Linked DNA regions of Lytechinus pictus. The protein of the gene in region 3 interacts with the protein of the main gene of each other region in a pairwise test. Links are inferred from orthologs where the notes say so. Each region holds a gene or a part of one and is shown on either strand. Other genes may lie near its edges.

Evidence for each region.
Region 1: the proteins of TRAF3-interacting protein 1-like (region 3) and FGFR1 oncogene partner 2 homolog interact in a two-hybrid assay, tested with the Homo sapiens proteins (2 studies listed by IntAct). The link is inferred for Lytechinus pictus from reciprocal best matches to the Homo sapiens genes TRAF3IP1 and FGFR1OP2.
Region 2: the proteins of TRAF3-interacting protein 1-like (region 3) and KAT8 regulatory NSL complex subunit 1-like interact in a two-hybrid assay, tested with the Homo sapiens proteins (2 studies listed by IntAct). The link is inferred for Lytechinus pictus from reciprocal best matches to the Homo sapiens genes TRAF3IP1 and KANSL1.
Region 4: the proteins of TRAF3-interacting protein 1-like (region 3) and spectrin beta chain-like interact in a two-hybrid assay, tested with the Homo sapiens proteins (2 studies listed by BioGRID and IntAct). The link is inferred for Lytechinus pictus from reciprocal best matches to the Homo sapiens genes TRAF3IP1 and SPTBN1.

Annotation. Positions count from the first base shown.
Region 1 is NC_087253.1:9,978,080-9,986,282, forward strand, and holds the start of FGFR1 oncogene partner 2 homolog, read right to left. Parts: upstream 3,130-8,203; 5' UTR 3,007-3,129; intron 307-3,006; 5' UTR 299-306; coding exon 161-298; intron 1-160. UniProt on the Homo sapiens protein: May be involved in wound healing pathway.
Region 2 is NC_087247.1:49,525,482-49,533,264, reverse strand, and holds the start of KAT8 regulatory NSL complex subunit 1-like, read right to left. Parts: upstream 3,101-7,783; 5' UTR 2,190-3,100; coding exon 526-2,189; intron 105-525; coding exon 1-104. UniProt on the Homo sapiens protein: Non-catalytic component of the NSL histone acetyltransferase complex, a multiprotein complex that mediates histone H4 acetylation at 'Lys-5'- and 'Lys-8' (H4K5ac and H4K8ac) at transcription start sites and promotes transcription initiation.
Region 3 is NC_087247.1:57,288,383-57,296,974, reverse strand, and holds the start of TRAF3-interacting protein 1-like, read right to left. Parts: upstream 3,498-8,592; 5' UTR 3,327-3,497; coding exon 3,204-3,326; intron 1-3,203.
Region 4 is NC_087251.1:20,135,277-20,143,845, forward strand, and holds the start of spectrin beta chain-like, read right to left. Parts: upstream 3,150-8,569; 5' UTR 2,858-3,149; intron 329-2,857; exon of another isoform or gene 1-328. UniProt on the Homo sapiens protein: Fodrin, which seems to be involved in secretion, interacts with calmodulin in a calcium-dependent manner and is thus candidate for the calcium-dependent movement of the cytoskeleton at the membrane.

The DNA.
Region 1 (8,203 bases), on a different chromosome or scaffold from region 3:
AAAAATGCGGATAACTCTGGTCCTCCTCCGATTTTACGACCAAATTATGCTGCTGTTAGCCGCATAATTGGGTTTATGAAAGGGGTATAAGCTAATTACACTGAGCCCTACACAGTGACTTGTCATAGTTTTTCAGGTGGAGGGTGAGACATTTTAATACCTCTTTCATGACTTCAATTTTCTTGTTCAGAGTTGTAGTTTCTTGAATAAGATGATCAGCAGCACTGTCGTGTTCTTTCAACCTTTCAACCAGCCTTCTTGCATCACACAGTACTTGATCAATGGACAATGTCATCATGCTACGATCTAGGAGGTGACACAAGATAATTTGACGTTAAAATTTTGCAAAAATTTAAAATAGCTTAATAAACTAAGGGCAGGATAATCGTCGTTACTTTGCCTTTGTCATTTAGTCAAGTTAGAGGTATGGGCAGAGCCAACACTACGAGGGTCACATATCTGAAGACTAATACCTTGGTCACATTTGTTCTACGGCGGCCGTACGGCGAGTCGAAAACAGCCGTTTTATTCATTTTAATTCAAACCACCTACATGTATATGTCGTTGGTACAACAAATGTTAAAACAGCTGTTTTCGACTCGCCGTACGGCCGCCGTAGAACAAATGTGACCAAGGTATCGACTATTAACCCTAAAAGGACTGTCGTGTTCTTTCAACCTTCTAAATGCCTTCTTGCACCAATGGACATCATGGTCATCATGCTGTGATCTGAGGGCGATACAAGGCAATACTCGACATTAAATTCACAGTTCAACAAAACTATCATTGTCGCTCTTAGAAGGGTTACATGAACATGCAGATCTACACATCCGGGTCCCGTCTAACAAACAGTTGCGATTAATCCGATCAACCACAACCATGGAACGCCAGCAACATCAACATCTAAAATAATTCGTTTGTAAAAAAAAAAAAAATCTGATAATTTCGATGAATATTCATACATTCATCATTGTTGATTCAGTGTGCTCTTCTTTGTCTACAAAACGACATTGTGAAAGATTCCTGTTCGACCTGTTGGAAAAATTATGATATCGATGGATTTCCATATAACAGTAGTCGAGGTTTATCTGGGCCCAATCTTTACAAAGAGTTACGATTGATCCAATCAATCGTAAGTCTATTGGAATCCATCAGTGTCATATTTTTTCTACCTATAGGAAATCTATAAAATGTCCTTGGTAACGACGGCAAACACACCTAATTGTCAAGAAATCAATGAATTTTAATATTGAAAATGCATCATTTCTAGAAATATTTTTGAACAGTAGTTGAGTTTGATCAGATCTATCGCAAATCTTTGTAAGACGGGGCCCATCGCAACTCTTTGTAAGTGTGTACATTGTATACCTACGCTCCGTACTGTAGTTAGTTTAAGTCATTGATCACAAATTTTGACACGAAAATGTAGATCCCTTAGATTAAAGCTAAATGACAGTAGTTGCAGTAAAATACTGATTTCGTGAGAAAGTCTGTAAAACCAAGGTTAAGTATTACTATATCATCGTGGATCTAGATCTGGTACAGTTACATAAACTGAACTTTGTGAAATCATGATATCTAAGCTAAAAAACTATCACACTGAAGATCGCCAACACAGATCAGTAGAGGCGCACGGCCAATATTGGAGACTGTCTCCAATGTGGGAGATTATCTCCAATATCAGAGACTTTTGTAAAGAATCTAGGTATCCAATTTCAGAGACAGTCTCCAGTTTTGGAGTCCAATTTCCTTTGTTTACATTTGCTGCAAAAGGATTAACTTGGCGGCAAATAAAAATGTGATAAGCAGATTCCTCATGAAAAATTACCCCTTTTCACCGTCTACTTTAAAAATTCACCGTCTACTTTTGTTTTGATAAGGATTTTTGTTGTCAATCACACACAAAACAAATGGGCTTCTGACCTCAGTGAGACAAAATTTTGGGTGGAAAAAATCATGCTTTTGTTGGTGTTGTTTCTTTTGTCCTTTTGCAAAGCAAGTCTCCAATGTGGGAGATTGTCTCCCTTATTGGAGAGAGTCTCCCATATTGGCCGTGCGCCTCTACTGCAGATAGGCACACGTGTGACAGTGTATTAATATTATTGCTGGAATAAAGACCTAACGGAAGTGACAGAATCCGCGCTTATTTTGCTTATTTCTCAGCAAGCACACAATTTCTTCCAGAATCCTTTGGCACATATTTTTTATTCATACAGACATTTTGGTGATCATTATATTAATTTCTGTAAAAAGTCATTTTGAGATCATCCCCACAACTGGAATTTATCTTTAACATCGGCCTGACTGTGTGAAGTCAGTTTGGTCTTTGGATTAATTCTGATTCTTGAAGTCTTCCAATATTGGAAGTCTCAGCCTCAGGCTGCTGAACTTCTGAATTTGGTAGAGTAATATTAGGATTCATACTATCAGAATTAGATTTTTCAAATGCAAAATACTGTACATGCACTAGTATTCAACCCGGCAGTATTCAACCCATTTAAACTTAAAGAACTTCCCCAAATATTCAAAAATAGGGAATTTATCTTAATTTCAGATTTTTCACGAGAGGATAAAGACAGTTTACTAGTGAGATTTATTTCGTCAAAATCATCACTGATGAAATAAATCTCATTGGCAATCTCTCTTTTTATCTACTCTTCAAAGTGGGAACCACCTAAGAAAATTTTCCTGAATTATAGTTTATACGTGACTATACATGCGATCCCGGCATGCGATGTGCCTCAGCTCCGCCTCCTCCGCCCCATTCGATATACCGGTGAAAAGCCAAGGTGTCTCGACCCGCGAGGCGCGGCGTGTAACTAGCCGTAGGCGTAGCGTACCGTACTACTACTACCGGTACTACGTCTACGGTACCTACCGCGCCGGTACTACTACTAGCGTAGCCGGCTGTCGTCACTCGATTAGCAATATGAATTACAAATTTAGGAATATACAAGTGAACAAGATGTCAATGAAATTCATTCAGAAAAAACGAGAGATACTCACAATTCTTTTACCTGCTTTGGGAAAAAGAAAGGAAAGGCATAAAATGCAAAACAAATCCTGTCACTTCCGACTTCAATTTTGGCTTATCTCTCTGATCTTGGCATGCAGTTCACCGGAGATGGCGCTGTTCGTGAATTCGCGACGCGACATCGACATGGTTCCGTGGCTTGGCCGAGCTCGTAGCGTTCCATCCATCATGAAGTCGGTCCGGGATTCGATACCATAAGTTCATAAGTTCATTTTATTTGTCTTCCAACTTTGAGTTTGAATACATGACAAACATATAAGTGTGTATGAAACAATGAGCAGAGTACATGATAAAACATACAGGTATATATAAAACAGAGTATGCAGAAAACATTGTTTTTAAATACATTATACAGCTTAAGACAGAAAAGAAATAATTTTAAAGGAAGACGAGGAGACCTAAGTGAAGCAATGCTTGTAAATTAAGGTTCCTCATTACGAATTCAAAGAACATTGGATAAACAACAAAGAAATGGCAATATAATATAATATGATAACTAAAGAGAGAGGCGGGGAGAGAAGAGGAACACATTTATGTACAAAAGGGAGTACACAAAAGGGGACATATAAGGACAGAGACCAGCCAGGCCCGGGAAAGGGGGGGGGGGGGTGATTATACTGATTATATTGATTATACTTACTTAACATCCCCCCTTTCCCGGAAAAACACGGATGCCCGTGTTCAACTTGATTCATTAACATTGCTCTATAAAGGTATAGATATACAATAAATTGATAAAAGTGCTGCATAATCTATTATGTTTCTGGGAAAAGTATACACTTATCATGTAGTTCTTGACTTTGAAATGTGAATAAAATCTGTTTCAGGTGCATCTTTTTTTTTTTTTTATGGATATGCAAGGCTACTAATACCAACCAATTGGTCCATCAACCGATTAATCACTCACTCAGACAATCAATCATTAAAAAATGTTATTAGTTAATCAATGTCACTGAACTGATACACCAATCAACAGATAAATCATGACTTAATAAAACAAAACAAGTAGCCTAAACCTTTGATCAATCAGGCTAGTTAATCAATCCATCTATCAAATCAGCCAATGAAGCCACTAATCAACCATTCAGACACTATGATCAATCAATCATTCGTTCAATTCATCAATCAGTCAACCAACCAATCGGTCAATCAACCAATCAATCAACCGACAAACAAATCAATCAATTAACCAACCAACTGACAAACAAGCAAATCAATCAATCAACCAACCAACCAACTGAAACACAAACAAACAAATCAATCAATCAACCAACCAATCAATAAATCAACCAACCAACTGACAAACAAACATAATAAATCAATAAATCAACCAACCAATCTACTGACAAACCAATCAACCAACCAATCAATAAATCAATCAATCAACCAACCAATCAATAAATCAATCAATCAATCCATATATCCATCAATCCATCCACTCATCTATCAATCAATCAACCAACCAATCAATCAACAACTAATCATTCAATCTATATATCAATCAATCAGTTTTCACTTTTTGGTTTGGGCCGGAGCTCATAAAAAACATATACTTCTTTAAAACAGTCAATTAAACTTGACAAAAAAGCTTTTAATTTGAGATGCATTCCCTTTTCTCTCTAAATAAAGTACCGTGAATACAAAATCCATAAAAAGTGCACTTATTTTCTTCAATTTACCATGATTCAGTATTTTTCATGAGCAATATACTACAAGGTAATAATACTCACTGTAACAACAATCGATAATAATGAAAGTACTAAAAATAGAAATTAGAGAAATAATGATAATGATAATAATAAAAGTGACAATTACAGTAACAATGTTATATTGATGATATCATATATTATCTTTATATATAAAAATAATGACTATCAAATCACCATCATTATCATTTATAATACTAGAAGAAAAGAAAAATAAAAAAAACCTTCAAAACAGTTTAGAAGTATCCTAATTCATTATGTATTTCATTTTGTAATTTCTAACTCGTATCAAACTCTGGGTAAAAACTCCTTTTTTGACTTAAGATTACTTTAACCAGTTCAGCTCAAAACAGATCCTTGTTAGATCAAATTTATCTAAAATTGAGTTGCCCAGCTAATACACCCCCCCCCAAAAAAAAAAAATTAATTAATCAAATAAAATAAATAAATAAATACAAAATAAGAAAAGGGATATACACTAAGTACTTAATGCAAGGCTTGCAAAATGCACCTTTCTGGCAAGTTAGTAAGAAAGCATCCTAATATTATGCAAAATAAATAAGACTTTAGAACAGAACTTGAAAAGACGAAACTAGTGCACAAACATGTACAGAAAAAAATCGCAGGCAGAGTTGATGAACAGTTAAAAGTAAAAATATGAGATGTTAGCGAATCCAGGGTTCACAAAGATTCACGATTAATCTTACTCATGATTTTCACGATTAATTGTTTGGTAGTGGATCGTATTACCGAACACTTTTCATGAATTCAATCATATCAAACACATTACTCTCATAAAATTCACCAAACTTCCACCATAAATACACAATTACCTACAAAATATAAATATGTAAAAATTTTGCCAAAATCGTTTGTCCCTTTTATGATATAAGCTTCCAATCGGACCCCTCTTCGCATGTTAAATATTTTGGTCACTTGAAAAAGGTATCGTATTACCGAACGTGTGTTTTCTATGGGAAAAGTTGTGAAAAAAACAAAATCACTGATGAGCTATTTTGAACATATTTTATTATTTTTAGAATATTAAGACTTTGAAAATGTGTTTTTGACAATTTTTCATCATCTTTCTATTCAAGTTCCCTTTGAAAGGATGTTACAAAATTTTGAGCTAATGAAATTATTTTCTGACGCGTACGATGTGCGCGTTCGGTAATACAAGGCCGGTCGGTAATACAATCACTCACTATACATGTAATCAATGCAATCAACGGTAAAAAAAAAAAGTTCTACGATGATTGCTATTGTTGTGTTACAGGCCTCAGAAGAAATAGCATAGGCCTACTTTGTGCCAGAAAAAAAAAGGAGATAGATTATCAAAATACAATGTAGGGAGAAAAAAAAAAACTAATTAGTGGCAGATACGAGTAAATATGTGCAGCATAAATGGATATTGGATTTTAAAAAAAGGTTAAAGCCTCTCTGGAAATTAGTGAAAATTATATATTGGGCTACGTGGCAAGTAGACCAACTAGACCAATTAGACGAAACTGGTTGTAGACCAAGATTACACCAAGTTGGATCCGACCAAAGGGGACGTAAATAGAGCTGGCGTAGACTTAATTGAAAATTACTGTTCTGTCTGCCATATTGGGGAATTTTATCATTATGAACACAAACTGCAGATTTTATGTCCATGATAAGATTGCAAAATAGCCTACCGTTGACATGCTAACTGAAAAATATCATTCTTTAGCTCCTTAAGAAAGAAAAATACATGCGGTGCTAGAATTACTTCTGGCGCAGTCACATTTTGTCTACTATGGCCGTACAGTGAGTCAAAAACGGCCTTTTACAATTTTTGTACCAGCTTCATGTATGTGGTTCGAATAGAAATCCGCAAAACACCCGTTTCCTACTCATCATGCGGACACGATACGGGAAATGTGACTGCAGAGGTAATGACCTATAAATAGGACTGCTATACCATTGAAATCAATAACATGATCAACATATTTACCTAAAATACATACAGAATAACATTTCATGGTAAAGAGAAATCAGTACGATATATTATCAGTTTTCCACTATGAAAATACATATAAAATAAATATTTAACCTTCTATAAAGCAGGTACTGCAGATTTAGTACAAATGTTGTCAAATATATACATAATTAGATACCTAGCTTTAAAAACATCATTGATATTTTTTTTTTTAAAGATGGAATATATACAACCATTTTCTCTGGAGAAGACATACTTTGGAAAGACATTTGTGTTTTTGGAATACATTAAGAGGAATGGAATACATGGAGTTATGCAATGCATTTGCTACAATGCTTACGAATATATCTGGTAAAAAAACAGATTTTCTATAAAAAATAAGGCATGTTTGATCAAGTTCCATGACATTTGCTCTGTGACAATTGCCCCGTCACACATGACAAAGCTAAACATAAAACCTGGGCCCCATTTCATAAAAAGTTGCTATGATAGCAACTCTTGCTGGAAAGTCAACTTTCATTGGAAGAGCCAATCAGGAAGCAGAAGTTCTACTGTTGTCATGGTAAATGATATCCCAGCAAGAGTTGCGATCATATCAACTGTTTATCAAATGGGGCCCTGATCTTCAAAAATACACACCTTAATATTAACCTTCATATCAGTCAGAACCAGAACCTTATATATCGTCAGAGATATTAGCAGACGAGAAACTGTCGCAGCAGAAAATTTTGTATTTTTTATCATTACACTCAGTGTGCTCAAAACTTAGTGAGCCCTACCAGAAATTGAACAAATTTAAAATGTTTAAGTTCTGCCATGTTTTACATGGAGCGTTGTGGCCCAGTGGCTAAGTCTTGAAAACAGAGGGTCGTGGGTTCAAATCCCAACCATGGCGTAGTTTCCTTCAGCAAAGTATTCATCCACATTGTGCTGCACTCAAGTCAACCCAGGTGAAGTGAATGGGTACCTGGCAGGAATTTATTCCTTGAAATGCATGTGTGCTGTCATCTTAGTAATTACGGCTGCCAAGCTACAGCTGGGGTAATAATATCCAATTCCTTTGGAAGCGCATAGAGACTTTATTCATGTGATATGTGCTATACAAGAACTGTATATTATTATTATTACTACATACTAAATTGTGAAGTCAGACGATAAAGTATTCCACTCAATAAAGTTTGTTTCTCTTGGCTCGCCGAACATTGTAATATTGTTGCCTACAATCAACCCTCAGCATGAAGGAGTGTATTTTGTGGTGGGGTTCACTAACTTTTGAGCACAACTGTATCATTATATTTAAGTCCACAGTTATCTGAAATGCAAATTCTGCATTCTTTGGTAGTTTAAAATCCAAATTTTGTGTTCTTCAGCGTTATGTACAATAAATATATTACAACGCACTTGTACTACAATGAAAAACCTTACAAACACTGATTTTTCAATAATACATCAGTTCGAACACTGCAGTATGCATTAAAGCAAATTAACACTGCAAACAGG
Region 2 (7,783 bases), about 7.8 Mb from region 3:
GCCTGATGCGATACTCCAGATCTGAAACCTGGGCTTGAAGCCAAGTCCATCTGGTTGCAATAGCTGACCTATCTATAGCCCATTTCCATGATGCTCTTCTGTGACTGTGAATAAGAAAGGAAAGGGGGGGGGGAGAAAGCAACATCAATGAATTTGAAATTATTCAACGCTATAAAACTAAAATCTTTCCAACATTTGTTCTTTTGGACAAGATAAAAACACAGGCAAATGAGGCAGCTATGCCTATTTGAATCTATTGGGAGTTTTGGGACCATAAAAATTTGTTCCAACTAGGGGGAATTTGAATAACAGTTGATAATAATCTGGTTTACCAATGCTGCGAATATTTTACTTAAAGTGTACCTGTAGATGTCCATAAAATTGTTTCCAAATTCAATGGGAGTTCTCATCTTTTCATTCATGTGACCATACTCACAATACGTGTACGCCTACAATATCGCATGCCCTATAATTCCAAGAGCCAAAATTTTACAATCTCCTTAGCTCTTTGAAATATGTACTCACAGAGGCATCTTGTGAAATGAACGGGATGCCTGGGTTTGTGGTAAGCTGTCATCTCCTTCATCACAACTTTCTCCACCTGAGCTGCTATCGGTGACGTCTGAATCTATGGTGCTTTCAACATGACCAAGGCCTGCTCGAAGCCTTCCAGTGACAGATTTTACTTCACGATATGCTTGTTTCCCTTCTCGCAAGTGCTGAGAAATATGTGTACTTGGCTTAGTTCTTTTTCCTGCTGGTAACCATGATGGTCTTATCGAATGTCTTTGCCGGTCTGAAGAAGAGTTTGTATGTAGAGGACAAGTATGGCTATGACTTGAACTACTTCTAGGAAGAACGCCAGGTCTACTACCCGTCTGAAGACGATTCCTCCGGCACTCTTCACAAGTAACGTTGCTACTTCCAGCAGAATTTGCAGCTTCTTTGCAGGATTGTTTTGATTCTACAAAGGAACCTATTTGTTGATATATCCGAGATCCAACGTGACATGTCTGTAATCTCCGTAACTTTTCCATCAAATACTTTGCACGATGTTCTTGTTTCGACTGTTTATGAATCAAAATGATAGCTTCTTTCTTTCCCTCAGACATCTGGTCATTATCATTCACAACCTTGAATACAGATTTTTCAACCTGCTTCACTTCTGCTTTCATAAATCTAGGTTTCCTGTCACCTCCTACTTCTAGCTTATCAACAACATTAACGGACTTGAATTTCTCCTTTTCAACAATGTTGCTTGCTCCACTACATTTTTCTGCAGTAGTGGCAGAAAGATCCACACTACTTTCATCTGAGTCGCTCTCATTGTCTGACTTCGGATCAAGACAGTCATCAACGGCTTGTTCAAGACTTGTATCTGTTGTCAGTGCATTAGAGTGTGACAGACTTAATGAACTATCCATGTCATTCGATAGAGAACTGCTTGACGTATCGCTAGTATCGAGCTCCACATGCTCATCGATATCACCATTATCTCGTATATTGATATTTTCAATGTGAGTAGCGACAGAGTGTTTTGGACCCGTTGGACTGGGACTTCCAGTAGTTGATATTGTTAGAGGCGGCATTTTGGATGTTGGTGGAGTAGAAGGGTGATTATCGTTCAACAGGTCTAGGTCTACCTCTTTCTGTGCCAAGGGTGCGGCAGAGTCGTTCATCGTTTTCAATATGCTTTTCTTTGAATGTTTTTCACCATTCGCGAGTAGATCTAGGTTTAGATCCAGGCCTGAGCCGATGGTGGAAATTAATGAATTTAACTTGTTTTTTATCGGGCCGTTACAGTGGTTTGATTGCAATTCCTGATAATTTTTTCCCTCTGAAATTGTCAGTGTTTCTCCACCCTTGTGATTATTATTCTCAAGAAAGTGGGTGTGAATGGTGAAACAAGTTGGCGATACAGTGGGCTCGTGGTTTCTCAACAGAGTGGTGGGACTCGAACCTGGAGAATAATGCTTGCCTACACCACCGGGTACTGCCGGAGAATGACCATTTGCCAATGAGGGCAAGTCTGGGCTTGTTGGCTGATTTGGATTTGCTTGCAGGCCACCACTGCTTCCCGGGTTAGCAGGCGAAGCTGGCAACTTGAAGGAGCCTGTATGAGCCGCGGCATCAGTCAGTGCCGGAGCCATTGCAGCCATACATAGCCTCAGCGGGAACTGTGACCACATGCGACGGGAAGCGAAGCGCTATGCGGACAGGGTACCGTGGGAACGGCACCACTGTACGGCGTCACACTTGCCATTGATTGGAGAACATGACTAATTAAAGCTTTCGAAGACGACCCGTCCAACGAGATAAAAAATTGTTTTGTATTTTAAATACTAGGATAACAATTAACATATGTTTACAATAGCACAAATGTTGCAATACCAAAACACAAATAATGCTATAGTATAGAGATATGTGTTTGTTCAACCCGCTCTCTTCATAAACATCGGTCCATCCAAAAAAAGCCGCAGGTGAGGCAGGCGATAATGGAAACAATAACAGAGGCCAGGCACAGGCCGAACGATTACCACACGTGACAGACACCAGATCAACGTACGTATAGCTATTTCCCGCGCTTAGGCCGGGAAGGTGGTCTCCATCAATATTTACGAGTATCGTTTTCCGTCTTCAGTGACCGACAAGAGGATCAGTTTTAGACGTCAAATTGAAAACAACGTTGCACTGACGAATGTTTGAACGGAACGTTTCGCAAACTGAGAATCATAACATGGACGGTAATGAGAAGCAACACCACGTGACCCCTGGACAGGTTCCACGCACGTTCGTGAAACAAGCGATCGGACTATGCATGCGGGTTACACCCATTATTTTCCGAATTGATCAACATATTTCCTTGCTCTTGTCAAAATTTAACATCCTAACGTATACTCCTCATGGGTAATCAATGAATCCAACAATCACACACATCACATTATTCATCATTGACTTCCATGGCCAACCTACGACGTCGAAAAAAGTATCGCATAATATGGCGACGTGCTCAGGCATTGATCTCCATTCTCACAACAAAAAAATGCAGGCGACTTCATTAACATCTGCCTCTACGTCAATTGGTCTACCCCCTATAGGCGGAATTGCGTGATTGGCTGTTTAGAGCTATTCGGTTGGTCGGAAAAATACCCTGTAAAAATCTTATAGTAAATAATTATTAATTATTTTTCCTCGCTCTTGCATAGTATTTCACCCCTAAATTGACTCCATCAATTCGTTTTTTTATGTAACAATACATCTTCATGCATGAAAAGGTGCAAATTAATGAAATTTTATCTTAAAAAATATTTCGCATAAAGACGTAAATACGGGGAGGGAAAATGCGAGATTAAAGAGCCATCAAGTTCGCGCTCTATCGATATGAAGTCAAACTTTCGCAAAATAGCACGGAACAAAATCAGTTTTATTACGAAAAGTAAGCATTATTATGTGATATAAAGCATTATATCAATTCAAGGATAGAAAATCTATGCTTAAAATTGATTCGAACGAAGTATAGGGATTTAGTCCTAACTAATAGAAGATACGGTGGAAAGACTTAAGTGCTAAAAAGGGAGGAATCATTTCATGTTTCGATCGCATTATCCGGGATCATAATTTAATATAGTCCCGAAACTTTGAATTTTTATATCAGAATTCGATGTTTCCCCACTCGATCTTGTACTCTTATTTCTGGCAGTATAATTGGGAACAAGGGAATTTTCGAATATAGCATTTTTATGATTTTATTATCTAAGGAATAAATTTATGTTATGCCAATGCGTAGTACCATAATAGCTCTATGATACCACCCTGTATTTTTTTTTTTTTGGTCTTTTTGTTAGTGGGTGTCTTTTTTTTCCGTACAGTTGACATCATTACAACAACGGGAAATTAGCGGAAAACTGCGCGCATGGGGAATGCAAACTCTGTCTCACGAGTCACGACATTGCTCTGCAGCTGAGCCCTGAGGTGCCGAACCGTGGATCTGACTCCACACATTTTTCTGAAATGTGGTCGGTATCATGCATTATATTTTTTGTAGCCCTAGCATATATGTTTTGTATACCCTCATTGACAATGAAGTGATTTCCCCCCTTTTTTATGTTGTTGCTATAGACAAACTTTAATTCTGAACAATCTTTCCCATGCAGGTTCGTCTTTCACCGTGAACACGCAATTAAGCCATAGGGTCCTACTCAGAAAGTTTCTTTTTTAGTAGAGGTCTATATATGTACTAGTAGGCCTAATGTTTTTTTTTTCCAACTGTTTTTTCGCTTTCTTGTTTTGTCTTCGGGAAGTTTAGTCCAATTATGCAGATCGTACATCTTCCCTTCCCCTAGGTGCTGTTTGCACTGATACCAAATACAAAAGTGGTATAGGCCTAAGTGTAAATCTTGATTTGATTTGATTTAGAACAGTAAAACCTACATTTTTTCAAGTTATTCTCTTATATTCTGTACAGTGTAGTTTAGGCCTAAGTTTAGTTTTATCTCTTTACTTGGGAAAAAGAGATAAGTTACACAATGAATGGGTAATCCCGACAAAACATGATTTGAACAGATGAATAAGAATTAAACAAAATGACCGTGCAAATTTCATCGCAATCGGACAAGGTATATGACAAAGTTATTGTTTTAAAGATCATGTGCACTATGCATGTCTTCATGCCAACTGATGACGTCATATTCCGGTTATGTTTATTAAAATTTTGTCATCCAAAATCGGGGGAACTTAAAAAAAGAATTGACAACTGATTTAGTGCACTGTTGCTGTTACTTATTTTACTACTAGGAGACATGGTCATACACACTGGTATGAAAATATGAAATAATGATGATTTCATGTATTAATATCAGTCCCATCAGTTCATTTGCCCACCTTATGAATATTCATGACGATCGATGTGCATATAAATAACCGAACGGATATCTTCGTTATTTTCTATCAGATTTTGATAGATTTTCAGCATTTTTCTAAATTGAAGTTTGTCGAGATAGTATACAGCCTACTAAGTCATGTTCATTAATTGCAATGGGTGTCGATTGCATTGGCGTAAATCCGTGACCAGTGTTGTAGTCAAGGCTCAAACCGGGCCAAGGCCAAGACTTTAATACCCAAGGCCAAGGCTTCAATACCCAAGGCCAAGGCATGGAAACCCAAGGCCAAGGCATTTCAAACTTTCGATAATATGGAACAATGAGCTAACAATTAATGCTTAGGCGGCAGACATGTCACACAGGGAAAATGTATAAAAGGTGTGAACGAGTGAACTGAGCGAGCAAAACTTTGACCCTTGTAAATGTACATGTAAAACAAAAATAATTTCATGATAGATTTAGACATAGGCCCTAATAATAAATGATAATATAGTTATATACCTTTGTATATTTAATACATTATATTTCTATAGGCGATTTACATCAAAATAATTATTATTACCATGGCATCCTGACATGCCCATTCTCAACGTATGTCTTTCTCCACTCCCTGGGACAGGGGCTGCAGAACGTATTTTTGTTGGGGGGTCAAAGCCAAAAGGGGTACTTAATTGTCAAAATGGGCCTTTTGGTGCAAACAGATATTTTCAAAATGAGATTATCAACTGCATGAAGTAGTTGTGTGATTTGTAGAAATTAAGTCGAGTAAAGCCTTTTTAAAGTGATTTCTAATTGATAAGATAGATATTTTGATTTAGGCTTTTACTTTTCCACGAGAAAGAGCAGCGAGCAAGCGGTTTTGAAAAAAAAATCAATTCTGAAGTTGTGCAACTCGATTGTTTTGGTCAATAATGGCACTATTCCGTGTTAAAAGGGCACCCTTGCGAGATGTTGCCAGTGCGAACCACGAGCTCAAACTTTTGGACATTATTTTCGTGTAATAAGACATGAAAATTAAATATTCTGAGCTGTTTTTGTAATCATGAAAAAGATGTGTATCTAACTAAAGAATTAACGCAAGCGCGAAGCGCGAGCTGAAATTTTTAATATACTGAGCAGAAAAGGAAGCTGTTAACATGGTTAAGGACATGTATTCATTTTAGTGACTCCTAAATAGGATAATAACTCTACAATCAAATAATGCGAGTGCATTATTTGTGATACTCCAACCTGAAAACTGGACATTCTAAACATTTTTTTTGTAAACGGGAACAGACTGAGTACCTTACTTTACAATAACTGATGCGAGTGCAGAACGCGAGCCAAAAATTTGTGATATTCCAATCTGAAAACTAGACATTCTAAACATTTTTTGTAACCATGAACAGGATAAGTACCGTACTTATTATTGATGCAAACACAATGCAAAATTTGGTGATTTTCAAACCTAAAATGTATTATGTTTTCATGTAGAAAAGGTATTTCTTTTTGAAAAATGGCACATTTCATTTGGAAAATAAGGCATTTTCGATTTTTGAAAAGGGGCATTTTTTTCCTACAGAGAATTTTCCGGGGGGGGGGGCAAGATAGCACAAAGCGCAAGTTGAAATTTTCAAATGCTGACCTGAAAATGAGTCATTTTTAGGACTCTTGTCAGTTTTCACGGTTTTTATGCTTACAACCACTTTTAACTTTCAATTCTCATTTCTTGTATCTTCTACACTTATTTTACCTCAAAAACCGGAATAAAGAATACAAACAAAATGAAGTTATATTCAAAAGGATATGAAATAAACGGAGCGCACCCCATACCCTTAGTTGGGGGAGCGTAAATCTTAATTATTTCTTTAAAAAAAATAGAGTTCCATATTACTAGTAAACCATATTGACTTAAAAACAAATAACCACCACATTTTACACACTTCTGATCGTCTCCAACAGGCCGTTCCCGATACTCCCCTTCTAGCATACAGACGCCCACCGAATCTCAGGGACCTCATTGTTCGTGCTGAAGTGCCCTGCCTCACTAACCATTCTTCTACCATACAGCATGGCACCTTCAAATGCACCAGCAACAGGTGCATCATATGTGAAATACACCTTCACGAGGGCGATACTTTCACCAGCAACTCTACCAGCCTGTCTCACAAAATCAAGGGCAACATCACATGCACTACCACTAATGTTGTATATCTCATCACTTGCAGATCGAGTTTGTAGGGTACAATACATAGGGGAAACCAAGACCACAATCAAGAAACGATTCTACGGGCACAGATCCACCGTCAACACAGCAAAGCTGGACACTCCAGTTGGCCGCCATTTTAACCTCCCCAACCACTCCATCACTGACATGATGCTACAGGGCATCGAATCTTTAGGTACCCGTCCTGACTCAGTCCGTACTAGCAGGGAGAAGCTCTGGATGAGACGACTTCGCACCACCCAACCTCATGGCCTGAACATCCAAGAGGGGAACGACTGATTTTTCTTTCCTATCCACTATCAATTTATATATACATATAATTTTTCCCCTCAGCTCTTTTGAATAGTTACATTATAGTTTCTTACTCTACTTTCCTCCCATATCTCATACAAGCTCAGCTCCAATTTTTCCTTCCTTATTCAGGCGATATAATAATTATTATATATATATATATATATATTTGTTTTTTTCTCCACTCGCCTCTTTTAGATTTACCACATTTGCTTATTTAAATGTATACTATGGTTTCTTCATAATACACCCCCTCTCTTCTATATTTGCTTTTACCTTTTTAGGCAATTTGCTTCCTCTTTTTCACATATACAGGTTTTTTTTGTTTTTTTTTCCTACTATATAGTCTTAAGTTTTTTTCCCGTCACACCTAGCGGATTACAATATCAGTTACACCATATGTGTA
Region 3 (8,592 bases):
GTTCTTTTTCTCAATAAGACAAAAATGCTATGCCTTGGAACAGAAATTTGAGTGTAAAAATGGGGGTCCCCTCCGCGGCACATACCCACTATGCATTATATACTGAGTGCCCCCCCCCCCCCCCCCCCCCCCGGGTTGCAGCCTACATGTAGATCTAGGCCTAACAAAAAAGTTATGGTTACCTTCTCAGTTTTCGTTTCCTTGAAGTTTGAACTTTTTGCCTCTTCCTTTCTTTCATTTTTCTTTCTTTCCTTCTGTGTTAAATTTTTGTTTTATTTCCTTCATTCTTTCTTTAAACTTTTTTTTACTTCATTCTCCCTTCCTCTCCTTTTTCATTCTTTCTCTCCTTCCATTTTTTTTTTCATTCTCTCCTCCCTTCATTCTTTCCTCCCTCTCTTTCATTCTTTATTTTCTTTTTTCCTTCTAATTTTCCCTTATTCTTTAATCTTTCCCTTCCTTCCTCCCTTCCTGTTTTTTCTTCTTTCAAAGAATGAAGTACAAACATTTTTCTTTCTTCCTCCTTTTTTCTTACTTTCTGTTTTCCTTTCTCTCCTTTATTTTTTCTTTCACACATTCATTCATCTTCCCTTCATTTCTTTTTCTTTCTTTCTTTATTCATTTCAAAGAAAGACAGAAACCTTTTTCTTTTATTCATTCTTTAATTCATCCTTCTTTTATTCTAACTTTCTTTATTTTTTTTCTTATTTCCTTCATGTTCTTTACTTTTTCCCCTTCATTCTTTCCTCCCTCTCTTTCATTCTTTCTTTCATTCTTTATTTTCATTTTTCCTTCCAATTATTTTCCCTTATTCTTTAATCTTTCCCTTCCTTCCTCTTTTTCAAAGAATGACGGAAACATTTTTTTCTTTCTTCCTCCTTTTTTTTTACTCTGTTTTCCTTTCTCCTTCATTTTTTCTTTCACACATTTCATCTGCTTTCTTTCTTCTTTTCCTTTCTCTCCTTCATCTTTTGTTCACCCTCCCTTCCTTTTCATTACAATTTGTTTACAGGCCCAATATTGTGTAGCCTTCTTTGCTGATATTTTTTTTTATTAAGACCTGGCTCGGTCCATCCAGCTTGGTCGATCCACTCGTCGATTGTTCCGTATTTCATTTTGTAAAATCTGGTCACCCTGTCTAGAACCTATATGGCAAGTTCCCCCAAGTCTGCGCAGTCCCCCTTGTCTGCGCACTCGCATATCTGCGCGATTCTAGTAAAAGAAGATACGCAACGAACACAGACTTTACACATGCAATACATAGACAGGTATTCATTAAAAAATCCGACTCAAAATAATGGAAAATAATGAATTTAGGGCATTTCATGTGACGGCCACGAAATGCAGTCTTTCTCATCAAAATCCCTGAATCGTGTGCAAAGTGAATGAGTGCGCAGACATGGGGTATAGTCACGTATTGTATTACCGGACACTATTATGATTCCGGACGCGCATATTACTGCGTTCAAAAACAATTTCGTACTGTAAGACTTCCGCAATTCAATTTCACATAGCAATACATACATTGGTTGTAAAACAAGATTGCAAAAACAAGGCGAAAAAATCAAACTTTTACCTTATTTATCTCTAAAATGACAGAAAATGCTTAAAATATCATATAACATAGTTTTGCATTAACAATTGATATATTTTATAACGGAAATATGGGCCTGATTTGCCGAATTTCAATCTCGTCCACTCCTCCGATCGAATGATGAGGTGTGGTGTATTGTGGGTGATCGTCGACGGCTAGTTCTCGAGGTACCTGTGCGGGAGGTTTACCGTGAGTAGAGCCGTCGATCGGCAGCGCATCGATAGAACTTGATGAGCATCACGATACGAACGCGAGCATATATTATTGGAAAGTGCCATGGAACATGCAGCTAACAAGAAAAAATGAATAAGTTATCAAACACAAATTTATTACCAACATCTGCTCATATTCAATATAAAAAGCAATTAAAAAATTAGAATTTACTCATGATATGAAATAAGAAGAAAAAAATCACACAAATTTGTTCTTACATCATTATAATCAAGGATATCTTTACCCGTCCGGCGCGCGTCCGGAATCATGATGTAATTTGTCGCGTACGAAAATAATTGTTTTTCGTGGAGGGGTATGCGTCAACTGCGATGCAAAGAAAATGGTTGGTAAATAGAAAATAATTTTATCATATTCATAGTTTTCATAATATTTGGAATAGCAAGTGTGATTTTTTTCTTGATTGTATTTCCTCTAGTTGTCATTTTTAAAGCACTGAAATAAAGGTGTCCGGCAATAGGATACACTGCCATACCGGTATAGTGAGTGATTGTATTACCGACCGGTCTTGTATTACCGAACGTGCGCATCATACGCATCAGAAAATAATTCCATACGCTCAAAATTTTGCAACATCCTTTCAAAGAGAACTTGAATAGAAAGATGATGAAAAATTGTCAAAAACACAATTTCAAAGTCTTAATATTCGAAAAATAATAAGATATGGTCAAAATAGCGCATCAGTGATTTTGTTGTTTTCTCAACTTTTCCCATAGAAAACACACGTTCGGTAATACGATACCTTTTTCAAGTGACCAAAATATTTCACATGCGAAGAGGGGTCCGATTGGAAGCTAATATCGTAAATAGGACAAACGATTTCGGCAAAATGTTTACATATTTATATTTTGTAGGTAATTGTGTATTCATGGTGAAAGTTTGGTGAAGTTTATGAGAATAGTGTGTTTGATATGATTGAATTCATGAAAGGTGTTCGGTAATAGTTCTACGATCCACTACCATACCATTTTTTTTTTCAATCTGAAAATGACTGCCCAAGGTTTTTTCAAGAAAATCCTTTATTTTCTTTCATTTTTCAATGAGAAATTTGGGACACTTACTAATAATAATATAGGCCTAAGGAACATTATTAACTGAAAGATTTTGTGAAATAAGAAGAATTTCATGTTAAATCTTAACTCAAAATCAAATTGTTAGGTGCGCAGACTTGGTTGGGGCCCACCATCATAAAACAAAACAAAGCAGATAACAAACAAGAAATGCAGGGGTGAAATTATCTATGAGTATGACGTCTGCATCGTAATTTCTTCATGTGCACAGAATCACTGCATGTGGAAGTTAAATTGCATTGACATTCAATCCATTGGCACTTTACAATTACACGTTCGATAGAATCGAGATCCAACTTGTTTTAGTTTACCTCTGTGAAAACGTCGTGTAGAAATCTGAATGGAGGTTTCTTCAGCAGCTTCTCTGTCATCGGTGGTTTTTTTATGATTTTCCCAAGAGAATCCTGGGTTTTCTTAATATATTCCTCTCCCATTATGTTCTAGTAGAATGTCACCTCATATCTCTATCCGAAACTGGGTAAGATTCTCCACGAAAACGAACAAGATGAGGCTCGTTACTCCTGTTGGTAACCGGTTTTTTCCTAGAAACGGGACGCCATTTCGATGACAAATTATTGTAATTGGAATTTCACAACGGAGAATTTGTCTCCTACTCTAGGCCGTAGAGGGCGAGTAACTAAAAAGTGCGTATTAAAAAAACGGGACAGTTTAGAAAAGTCTATCAAAATTTTGTTTCAAATTATGATGTCTATATTTTGATGTTAATAGATGCTCTGATGTCTTATCTTTCTAATGCTTTTTTTAAAGAAAATAGTTCCGTTCATGCTTGAGCGAACACAAGACGTTTTTGTGAGGGGTTCAAAAACAGGCTTGCGCCAAATGCCAGAAAATTAGACAATATTGATCATCGTGTGTGTGTGTGTGTAGTTGAGTTTTGTCAGACGTGTATCAATCAGATATGATTATTTACGTCTGGGACCGACCTTTAACGTCACCATCCGAAAGACGTGACCAGGGCTCGAACCTCTGCATCAATTTGTAACTTCCCCACATAGCTTGGATTACAGGCGCACGCCACAACGCCAGTGCAGTGGCGTAGCTACGGGGGGGCCTGGGGGGGCACGTGCCCCCCCTGAGATTTGGTGTGCCCCCCCAGGTGCCCCCCCTGAAAAAAAATGGCAGAGCAAAAAAAAAAGGGAGAAAGAAGAAAAGAAAAAAGGAAAAGAAGAAGAAAGACAGAAGAAAAAAAAGAAGAGGAAATAAGAGGAGGAAGACGAGTGAATGATATAATGTGAGGGGAAGACTTGCAAAAAAAAAATCCTTCATGTTACTTTATAAATTTTTTTCTTGCGCTTCGCGCCAGAATTGCCTGTTCGATGAGATTCATATCTTGCTCAATAGGCTGATATGGAGCAAGTTTTGAAGTCAATATACAAAACATATTTTAGCTCGGACATCGAGCTTTCATTATTTTTTTTCATTTACAAATTTAAGTGCTCTGTAAAATGTCCATTTTATGGTCTACATATCAGCATTTTAAGCTCACGCTGCGTGGTCACATTGTTTGATTTGCCAAGTTCATATTGTCTACGTGTCCCGGCTACGTGTATTCCATAATGTTCCATTAAACAAATGTATTCAGAATGCCCAGATTCTAGGTCTAAATCTAAAACATGCGCGATAGCCTGCATGTTCTTTATTTAAAATGTACTTAAATTATCCAGTTTCACATCAAAATATCAATAATTGTCTGCTCACGCTTCACGATCGCATTATTAATGATACCCAATTAACTATATCCTATTCATGATTTACAAAATATGAATATAGTGTCCCGCTTTTAGGTCTAAAATCTCAATTTTCTTCCTCTCGCACTTCGCGCTCGCATCAATTGTTTAGTTACATAACTATCCCATTTATTAATACAAAAAGTGCTTAGAATGACAATTTTTTTTAGGTCGGAATGTCAAAAAAATTTGCTCGCGCTTCGCGCTCGCATTATTGAAATATATACCATCTTCCTTAACAGGTCCCTTTTCGATAATGCTAGAACAGTTAATAAAAATTTCTGCTAACGCTTGGCGTTCGCAGTAACCATCTAGTTACATACGAATCTTCTTCAGGATCACACATAACATTGCCCAGAATATCACATTTTCAGGACAAAATACATGAAAGTTAAAAAAAATCGCTCGCGCTTCGCGCTCGCACTTTTTATAAGGCTTATGAGATTATTTCATGTTTATGTTGTTTTATAAGAATAAAACTGAGAAGGGACTGATCGGGGAAAATATAGGTGAAGATAATTTCGGGCCCCGTCCCCTATTGGCGAAAGCCGGATCCGCCCTTGTGACACATACACACACCGGAAAAATGGTGCCCCCCCTGAAAAAGCAAGGACCCCCCAGTGCCCCCCCAGGAAAAAAATCCTAGCTACGCCACCCAGTTAAGTTAACTCAAAATCAAATTGTTAGGTGCGCAGACTTGGTTGGGGCCCACCATCATAAAACAAAACAAAGCAGATAACAAACAAGAAATGCAGGGGTGAAATTATCTATGACGTCTGCATCGTAATTTCAGATGACTTCTTGCTAGTTCTTATTCAATTTTCTCTCATTTCTTTATTTCTACATCAATTATGTTCATACTTGGTAAATATTATCATTGGATAATTTTACATATTTTTCCATGAGAATAATGAGGTCGAAGGTCGTCTAGCGGTCAAAAGGTCAAATGATATGTGTTCATGTCCATCCTTTTTTGAAGGTTTTGTTTAACTTGCTCTGATTTCTTTATTTCTGCATCAATCATGTTCACACTTGGCACATAATTATGATTCTTGGGTAATAATACATGTGTATTCATGAGGATGATGGGGTCAAAAGATTATATTGCATATTTTAATTATCGCGAAATCAGGCGAGACAAGGTGGTTCGAAAACCACCTTGTTTCATTTAAATATGTTTACTTAAATTGTATTATCTTTTAGCATTGAATATTCTTTCATATTAGGTAAGAAAAAAAATTGTCAACCTAAGCAAGGAGATATCCATTATTAATGGAAGAGCTTGCAATTTATTCATATCCTTTTATTATGTGCAACAAAGGTTATGGTGCATTTGAAAGACATGAATCCTATTATCAAGGGGACATTGATTCCATGAACAAGTCAAATTGTGTGCTTGACAGAACAATATTAATTCTAACAGAAGGATTCATGTCTTTCAAAGGCACCAAAACCTTTGCAGCCCACAATAAAAGGATTTGATAAAATTACAAGCTATCCTATTAATAATACGAATCCCCTTACTTGGGTTGACAATTTTTTGCTTTTACTCATGAAAAAACATTCAATGCTAAAAGATACCATATTAAAAATAAAAACACCAACAAAACAATTTAAGTAAATGGAATTATGGCAGAGATAATGAAAATAATTAAAATCTACTAATTCCTTCTCGATGAAGTCTTCAACGATTATACAAATCGCTCATTCAGTTGGAAGTATTGCGGCCTCCGCTCACACCCGACTATATATTCACAGTACCCATCAAAACAGCATCTTAACAGTGTGGGTAAGCTTTTTCACACATGATTCCATACTCTGTATAAGTAATGCTAGAACCAAAATATACACAAATATTTGATTTCAAGGAGATACTTTTTGATTATTTAAATGCAAAGCTTTTTTCCACTTTATCCATTTACATCTGACCTTAACTTTGTTTTCAAAGTCAGAGTTCTTATTTTTCCATCTTCTTAAGATATGATTAAACACTTTGCTTTTGAATGCGTATGATTTATATTAATTCATTTCTGCTCCATACTTATAACAGGGTGTTATTTCTAAAAAAAGTATACATTTTCGTTTTGTGAAATCGGGTTCTCGCCTGAACCTCCCTTACATGATACGTCATTTTCATTTACCATTACTTTGCTCTCTACTGCCCTCTACAGGTGCCTTCGTGGGCTCAAGCAACGGACAATGCACATGCTCAAAACTACGGCTTGTTCATCCTTCAATACACAATAAGCGGACTTCCTTTGCCTCTTCTCTCATCATGCTCATAGGTTCCTTGAACCTCCTTTGTGTATCGTGCTTTGTATGTTGTAAGTTCCCTTTCTGTTCGTTTTTGCTTCAGTACCTCTTCTCATTCATGCACGTGACTGTTGTTTATCTGTTTCTGACCGGGACTTGTATTTCAGATTTCACTGTTCCTGCTATAGACATTTTAATGTCATCTAAAAAAAAAAATGCGTTTTCTGATTTTTCTTTAATATGGCAAATTCGGTAGATACACCATTCAATACAATTAACGATGATGACTTTCTTGACTTGTTTAGACCAACGTTAGTAGAAAGTGAATCAAACATAAATCCCTATGTTACTTCCTTTGAAAATCATGTTACAGACAAATTTAATTCATCATCACATGCAAGAGTTGAATTATGATTTTGACACTGATAACCAATTTCCAGGTCCATGTTCTGAATACGTCACCCATAACCAGTTTAATAATGTTGTTAAGGAATTTGATAACTCCTCTTTTTCTCTTATACACTTTAATATTAGGAGCATTAACAAACACTTTGATGAATTACGGTTACTTTTAGATAATCCCCCCATGCAAACATTTTCAGTAGTAGGTTTAACCGAAACATGGCTTTCTCATGATTCAAGCCTTCCATTCGCTCTCGATGGTTATGATCTTTTAGTTAACAACAGACAAAATAGGGTGGGTGGGGGCGTTGCGTTATATGTTTCACAATCTTATGATTATGTAGTTCGAGACGAGCTTAACAGCATGTCTGATACAATTGAATCTCTTTTTATTGAAATTACTATCCCTAACAGCAAAAACATTATCATAGGTGTTATATACAGGCCTCCGAGTTCGAATATCAAATCATTTCTAGATCATATCTCAGACTTGGTTAAAAATCCAATTTTTGATAGTAAAAATTGCTTTATAATGGGCGATTTTAATATTGATTTATTAAAACAAAATAATGTTACACAAGATTTTTTGGAAATATTTTTATCCGCTTCTTACTTACCTTTAATATCTAAACCCACACGCGTAGTCAATGAATCCGCTTCGCTTATTGATAATATTTTCTGTAACGTTCTTCCCCCACCCGATTCCTTCATATTACTCTCTGATATCACTGATCACTTCCCTGTCTCGACTAATTTCTCTTTAAAAGACAGATTCAATAACATATATAGCCGTCCATTAAAACGTAGAATAACACACGAAAATATAGCTCGTCTGGGTGCTAGTTTAGACGATGTTGATTGGTCTTGTGTCTTTGATAATAATGACGTTAACTTGTCCTTTGAAAACTTTATGAACATTTTTAATTTACACTTTGACACCCATATTCCAAAACTTAGAGATAAGACATTTAACTACAAAAAATCACCGAAGCTCCCATGGATTTCTAAATCGCTCTTGCGTTCGATAATAGAAAGAATAATTTATATTATAAATACAAAATGAAACGCTCTGAGCAATCCAAACTTAAATATACTTGTTACAAAAATACATTGACAAAAATTATACGTTTAGAAAAGAAAAGATACTTTACTAATCAGTTACAACTTTACAAGCGCGATATGCAAAATACATGGAAAGTTTTAAAACAAGCAATGAATATAACAAATAACAAATCTAATATTACAAAAATTAGATCTGGCGATGTTATTTTTGAAGATTCTCACCAAATTTGTAGTA
Region 4 (8,569 bases), on a different chromosome or scaffold from region 3:
GATAACAGGTCCTTTTAGTATTTTCCAAGGCTTTTCATTCCACATACGATAGATCCTCAGTCGGGCCAGCCGAAACACAACGCCACGCGCATTCATCTGTGTATCCCATTTACGTGCAAACTAAATAGGAAGAGTCGAACTATGTTTCATACGCAGAGAAGAGGCTTGGCTGGCTGGTAAAGTACACAAGTATGCATTGCTGATGGTGTAATATGTTGATTTCATCTTCCAATGTGTCTTATTCTGTTTGCTTATTATCGGCAATAGAATTTTGGTTTTAGTTTGGGAGCAGTCTCAAGTACATTAACATGATCATACGGATTTGTTCCCTTTTCGGTTATTGATTACTGTTCATCAATAGTCAAAGAGCCACTGGAGTGAAACTTTCAAAATATAATTCCATCGATTGTTACACTTCGGGACCACTATGACCACGCCCATTTTTTACCGCAAAAGTAAAGAACTTTCTTTTATTCTCCAAGTACTTTGCAAAAATTTTGCGTCAGAGCTTTACTTCAAGTAATGAGGTATGGCTACATGTTTTGAAAATGATAGAGACTGCAGTGGGGGTGAAAAGACGCCATCCATTGCCAGTGCCACACAGTGAAGCAGGAGCTAATAAGATGAAGTGAGCACCGTGGGTCCTCCTCCAAAAACTGATATTGTGCCATCTCTCCATGAAAGTGATAGGCCTAGGCCTACATGTATACCCCACCCCCGGTCTTTTGCATTAAGGACATTCTAGGAAAATTAATACATTATTTAGAAATGTGAACACTGGGGTACAAATGGAGACTTGGGGCCATGGACCTCAAAAAAATAAAAATAACGACCAAGAAAAAAAGGAGAAAATGAAAGAGAAAAGGGTAAAATCAGGGGCGGCGATCCTGGGGGGCTGGGGAACAGTGCCCCCCCCCCCCATTTTTTGAAGCACTGAAAAATGCCCTTTTTATGCAAGAAAAATGCCCCCTCACGAACGTGTACTGTGCCCCTTTCACCTAACGAGGACCCATTTTAGGTGTTACCAAGTGCCCTTTCTCGTATAAGTGCCAATTTTTTTTAATTGAAAATGCCCCCTCACGAACATGTTCTGTGCCCCTTCATCTGAGAATGACCCGTTTTGTGTGTGAGCAAGTGCCCCCTTGCCTTCTTGTAAGTGACCTATCTCGTATCAGTTCCCCCCCTTTTTTTTTACCAAAGAAAAATGCCACACACGAACGTGTTCTGTGCCCCTTTCACCTGAGAAGGACCCGTTTTATGTGTAAGCAAGTGCCACCTTTCTCGAATCAGTGCCCCTTTTTACCCAAGAAAGGTGCCCCTCACAAACGTGTTCTGTGCCCCTTTCACCTGAGAATGACCCATTTTAGGTGTTACCAAGTGCCCTTTCTCGTATAAGTGCCAATTTTTTATATTGAAAATGCCCCCATACGAACATGTTCTGTGCCCCTTTCACCTGAGAAGGACCCGTTTTGTGTGTGAGCAAGTGCCCCCCTGCCTTCTTTCTAATTGCCCTATCTCGTATCAGTTCCCCCTTTTTACTCAAGAAAAGTGCCCCACAAGAATGTGTTAGTGCCCCTTTCATTTGAGAAGGACCCATTTTATGTGTTATCGAGTGCCCCTTTGAAACAAGAAAACGATATTCACATTTTTATATGTTACTTCAAAACCTACGTGCCTTAAACTTCATGAGTCATGTGAGTGGGGTAGATGAGCAGAGGCGTAAAGATGGGGGGGGGGGGGCTCTTGCCCCTCCCTAAATTTTTCACGACCAATTTTTCTTTGTTTTAAGATAGTGCCCTTTTTAAAAGAAAATGTGCCCTTTTTTCCTGTGCCCCCCCCCCCCCCACTTTCACCTTTGCTCCACCGCCCCTGGGTGATGATAGTATTTTCTGAGTATCATGTCAACAGCTAGATCGCTCGTAGCCCTTTTTGCCACTGGCTTCCTCAAATGTTTGGCTCATTATGCTTCTGTTTGTTCAGCTAAAAAAAAATAAACCGGCCATCATGAAATGATCTTCTTTGAAAGATTTACATGTCAATAACAAAAATATTCTCCTTGTTTTGGGGAAACTTGGAATAAATTCCCAAAGAAAAGTAAGCTAGGTTATGCACTGATTTAATGAAGATGGCAGGGATCAGTATTTAGTCCTGGCGATGATGTAAGGTTTTGGACCATGATCGTACACTCAAATGGGGGAAAAGGTAATTATGAATAAAGAAATTAAATAGGTATGACGCCCACAAGAGGTGACCCCAATGAAAATCGCCCATTAATTTGAAAACTAAATCATTTAATATAAAACTATTAAAGTTGGCATAAAATACTATAACATGCAAATAATGTCTATCCGTCTATTTTTCTAAGCGCTTTGAGCTCAGAATACTGTATTATATAGCGGCCCGAAAACTTTTGTCATTTTTCCACTCCCCCGATTCCCAACTAGGCCCGAAGCATGGGCACCCCTGCATCCCACTGAATAGTGAACATGATTGAACTTATTTTCTGTACTAGACAAAGCCTACATTGTAGGTTCTTTACCGTCTTATAAAGTCTCCCCCATATCATTAATCAAACACAATACAATAAAGTCTTTGGAATATGAGAACTTCATCAAATCGGATGCAAAGCTAAATGACTTCTCAATTTCAGTTGGTGTCAGATTTAGTCACCTATCTCCTTTAATCTGGATGACATGGTACTTATTTTTCCTGCTGTGTTTTTATTTTTCTGGAGGGGTAGAAATCAAAAGTTAAGAAATAAAGAAAATAATCACCTTCCCCCTGTCTGAGCATCATATTTGATAGCGAATGATGTAATAGTTAAAATCAAACTATAAACCTTTAAAAAATAGCCTACCTCTCGTTGACAATGTAACGATGTCTGTGTTTATATTCCTAATTATTAATTTATCCAAGAAGAAACATATAGGGCAGATCTTCATCACTAAGACTTCCGAGAAAACACAAAATCAAACCATATTCCAGAAACTGCTACATTTCACGCTTGTAGCCGTGTCGTCTGTCAGACTCATATTCGCGACCCAGATTCATCAGCAAAAAAAATGTATCTCCGGCATTCACTTATTATTTACACTTCAGTCATCTATATTATGAAGTAGATGTTGTCTATGATACCACCATAATCCATTGGTACTATCCACGGAGACCGTGGTATCGATGCGGGATGATAATGAATTTTGAAAAAGAAAAAAAAAGTACAAGGGCATCCAGTCTGGCGGGAGAAAGGGCACGCGCATGCGTAATGATGGTATTCATTTAGCAGCATCCGGCGACGTTCCAAAGCATCGGATATTGGTATACAATGTGAGAAGATGTCCACTTCCTTTCGTTTAAGATTTGAAACTAAATAGGATGGGGCCACGCTTTCTTTGTTTGACAGAGTTAACGAATGAATACGCTTACTCCAAACCAAAAAATAAATTTTGAAAGTATATCTCAACTTGGCCCAATAATAATATTGTATGACGTCAGGATGTGGCATGTACAATATACATAGAAACTTAAGTATGCCAAGTATAATTTTATAAAGGAACAAAAAGGACACTTGCAGGCCTGTGTATAAACACAATATTTTTACATGTATTTGCAAATTAAAGTAGGGTGGCCTTTACTTTACCATGCATGTTCAGAATAAGATGGGTAACGTTCGTATGACGTCACTGTGTTATCAATAACTTCCTCAATTTTGAATAACTCTACTCAACGTGAGCTAGCGCCGAAGGAAAGGTGTGGTATATAGGCCTACCCATAGTGAACTTAAAAATACATCAAAAGTTCAGAACCTACCTCATCAATCATCATTCTGAATGCCAGGATAGATATTCAAAACATTCGTAGTCTATATCAGAGGCAGTGTACCCAATGAAGTTACTATGTTGAGGCAGGGGCGGCGACATTAATATTTTGATTGGGGGCGGGAGCAAAACTACCATAAAGGTATATAACGTCATATTTTTTTTCTAATATTAATTATCAGAGGGGTATTACACTGCCAAAACCGCTTTCTTTCTCCCCCCCCCATTTATTTCCCCCCTTTCCCTCTATTTTCCTTTTCCCACTTCTTGACAAATCATAGAGGGTGGTCGCCCCATGCCTACTCCTAGTGTCACCGCCCCAAAACCGATATCGTGAAACTTTAATAATAACCATATCGTGAACCAATATATTGCTTAGTGTAATCATGTCCACGGTGTAACCTTATCTAACACTAACCCAATTCGGCGATTCTATATATAAGGCCAAATATGAATTATATCATTGTGACTCGAAAACATTCGTTAACATAACGTATAATTCAAGTCAAGTTTCCCATGAATTTAAGATGATTTGTATATCAATCCAAAAAGCAAACAGCATGAAATTTGTCGAAACTTCCTTTTTTTTATCCAAAATGATCACACTGAAGCGGGCATTGGTGTCCCAATATATTTTTGCTACCGTTTCCATCGGTTGAAATTTGAAGTGTTACATCTTTTCATGAAAATCTGGCCCTGATATCCAAATATATAGGCCTAAGGATATTTGGTGAAAAATCTCGCCTGATATAAAACAGTTTAAAATTTTGAAACAAATTTCATATTGAAGGACGAGGGTGAGGCCGCGGCTTGGAAAGTGGTGTCAGGAAAAAATAGGCCTAATCCGAGTAATTTTTATATCAGACATTATGACAGGATGGAGAAGATCGATGACTGAATGTTGATTAAATTAATGATATTATGAATGATTAGATGACCCAGAACTTTATTTATTTATTTGTTTATTTATTTATCTATCTATTTAATTATTTATTTATTTATCTATTTATTTGTCTCTTTATTAATCCATTTATTTACTAATTCATTCATTTATTTTCTATTCCTATCTATTTTTTGGGGTGGGGCTTAGTTCATATTTCTTCCTCCTAAATTCAATACTTATATAGCGCCTATTATTTTTTTTCAAAGCGTTTTCATTTATCCTTCCCGTTTCCCTTTTTTAAAAAAAATAAATAAATGAGGTGGTCGTCTGACTCGTCTCCTTCCCCCTGTGACGTCTCTCCTGGGTAAAAACAGGCACAAAATGTCTCTTTTAAGACAAAATACAGTTTGACCCCCCCCCCCGAGCGTTTAAATTACACAAAAATTATTATGTTGTAATAACATGGTGCTGGACTGACACCACACATTTTACACAGATGTAAAATGACGGACACTCTCCTCTTTGTGCAGTGGACCAGTCGATCTGAAGCATGATTCTATATCCTCTTTCACTTTTCTGGACATACAAGAATCCCCTTTATTCGCACAATGCTCCTCCATCCGCTTTATTTATTTTAATAGTAGTTTTTTAATTGCCGGTTAAACGTACTCTCATGCTTTCATGATGCATGAAAACAAGGGAACGGGAAGATTTCGAACAAGTTTTTCCGTGACCTCATCGGGTCACAAAATCTGAGCTTAATGGAATGTTGACAAACTCCTGTCTCCATAGTTACCACTACTCGATCTTGTATCATGTGAGAAAGTGGTAGTAATCTGATACTTTACGACCCACAGGGGGCCAGCAGTGCGGACCCTGAAGCGAAGGATGAGGTAGTAGGTCCACGGTAAAACCGACGACTCTTATTTCGTTGACCCTGGATGACCCGAGGGGACCATCCCTGGTGCCTGGTATAAGGACACGCCCACCTCACTAACTTGACAGTGTACATGAGTGCACTTTTATCGTTATTACATGTATTAGGGGTTCACTTCTGGAGGTGTGATGACGTATGTACTTTTGTTTGGTTTTGTTTGTTTCTTTTGCTCTGTGTTATAGCATGGCAGTGTCGAATGGAAGTTTGACACAAAGATATACATCCAAGAATACAAATCTTTTTAACATCCATAAAGCCATTAGGTGTCACGGAAGAAATAATTCAATATTATCATTGATAACAGGCAGCTGTGTAGCCTATACTAGTTTTCTCTTTTTAAAAGGATTCTCTTTCAACTAATTTATATAATCAAGGTAATTGTATTTTATAGGCATATTCAAGTCTTCATATTGAGGATATATTTTCAGAATGTTGATATTTACGATTTTATCCAGCTATTTAGAAATCTTACTGTAAATAGCACAACCTGGGTAATCCTCAAAGGAAATAGCTAAATCGCCGACTTTATTTCATGCCTGGGCAGGGTTGCATACCGTTTTGAAAAGAAATGAATAATACTTGGCTATTAATGGTAGGATCATTAATAACCCCTTCCATGGACGATGGAGATAATGGAAGATCTTTTGTGAGGCAAACTCACAGAACCTGAACAAAGAACAGGAAGCGAATTGAAGCAAAAGATCAACTTTAGAAGTCAAAAGACAAATTTTCCGGTCTGTCACCTTTTCGTTCTTTCATCATAGCTCTATTTAATACGTTAACGACTATAAACGCTCGAGTCGGATAATACAGTAAAAGATGAAAGCATATAGCAAGTTACAACTGTCCTAATCAGTATCAGAAAATTTCTGAAAATGTAGTCATGTCATTATTGCATAGGAACACTGTCTTCGCCTGTCTAATGTTTATATCAAGAGTTAGCACATGACACATTTAAAAACGATCTCGAATTAATCCTTGTGGAAATGTGGGGGGGGGGGGATAGAGTGGTAATATATTCAAACTTATTTTGAAAAGTCAGAAAAGGCTAAAATAAGGCAGGCCTGGGTCGCATTCTGCATTCGATAAGTCTTATCACTCAAGTTCATTGAACATTGTCTTGAATTAATAGCAGCAATACATTTTTCATTTTGTTCTATTTTTATATCCTAAAATCTATCAAGATTTACGGTCTAGTTTCTGTAATTTAAGATATAATCATGAAAACTTATAGAATAATCGTACTATGGTATCATCGTGCACGATATTATTTCTAATATTGCTCTTATTTCTGCCCCTATGAAAAGCACGTATAAAATTCGACATTTTATTTTCCGTTTGAATGTTCTATCATAGCATCATTCCCCTCTCTACTCAAGAATTAACTGTCTAATTCTGATGATTAGTGAGAAATAATGAGCATCACGAGAAAACCACATGCTCATGCCATTCGCGCAGGGACATTTTGTACTTCATGCAAATTAAGGAATTATGCATATAATTTCAGTGTCACTTGTAATTACAAGAATGCAATAATTTATTAACCTTTCTTTGATTTGGACAATGAACATCTTTATGCACGCGTTCTCCCTTGTGGATTATGGTTTCTTTTATCCCTTAAATTGTTTTTCATTATTGCATTATGAAATGACCAATACCCGAACGTAGCCTAATCACCAATAATTTTATATAAAAATATAGCATTAATTAAGTTAACAAGTGGACTTGTTTCAAGAAAATAAAGATGTCAAATTTCTTAATGAGCTATAAACTGCAATCTCCTCCATGAATTGCATTACGATGACACACTTTGTAATTTAGGAAACATGCAGGTGGTGAGATAATAATTATAAAATACATGTTGATATAAGCTGCCTTAATGATTTAATTCTGAATTAGGAATTATAATGGGAACAATGCCTCGCATTTGAAAATAGTACGTTTGCAATCCTCTACCTGATGTACAAGCATTTTCTTTGCGGACACCACTCCACTCTCCACCCCAGTTTATCTAATCCACTGGCGCCATATAGTAAATTTTGACAGAGGAATGAACTTGACATGATGTCCTACATTATAGGAAATGCAGCCATCGACTACTAGTATATGAATACGAAAAAGACTGTTAAAAATAGTGAATTTCCATAGGCCTATGACTGAGGACTAGCTGTAATTCCCCTTTAAAGTTTTGTGCAGTGTTAAAATCGCGATTAACGAAAAGAATCATGCCAAAATACGTCGGTAATAACAGATTACAGGGGGTAGTCACCCTGTGATTTTTCAATAAGTAGAAAAAATATATATATAAGTGGGAAACGGAGGAAAGAAGAATGAAGAGTATTAGGATAGTTCTGGATCTAGATCCCCAAAAAGGAATTAAATGAAAGAAAAAAAAGGGAAAAGGAGGAACACAATCAGAAAGAGCTAGGAGACTGGGTCAAGTAACTCTAAATGATCTCTGTTATTCTATCAAGAGGAGAAAGAGTACGTCACGTTAGGATAGCCCCCTTATCAAAATACTACCGCCCCCTTGTTAAAAAGTAAGATGAAATCAAAATGACAGTATTAAAGAGCATTATCACGATAATGGCGTGTATACTGGATCCATACAAAGACCACAATGCATGCACTGCTCAATGCGTAGAAAAATTATGATCACAGATTTTGTCTTATGAGCTGTATTATCAACAATTTTTAGTATCACTTAACCTTTGATATACCGAAATCAAACAAACTCATGGCCGGGTGGTGCTCTTAAATACCAGTGTAATGTCAGTAAACTAATGCAATCATATAATATACAGGGTGAATAAAAAATATTTTGTCCACACATAACATGATCCAGGATTCTGAAAGGGATGAACAAAATATGCAGTTATTTTTTTGTCGGCCAAGTGCTGACGGAACGCGCAGAAAAGTGAAAATAGATGGATG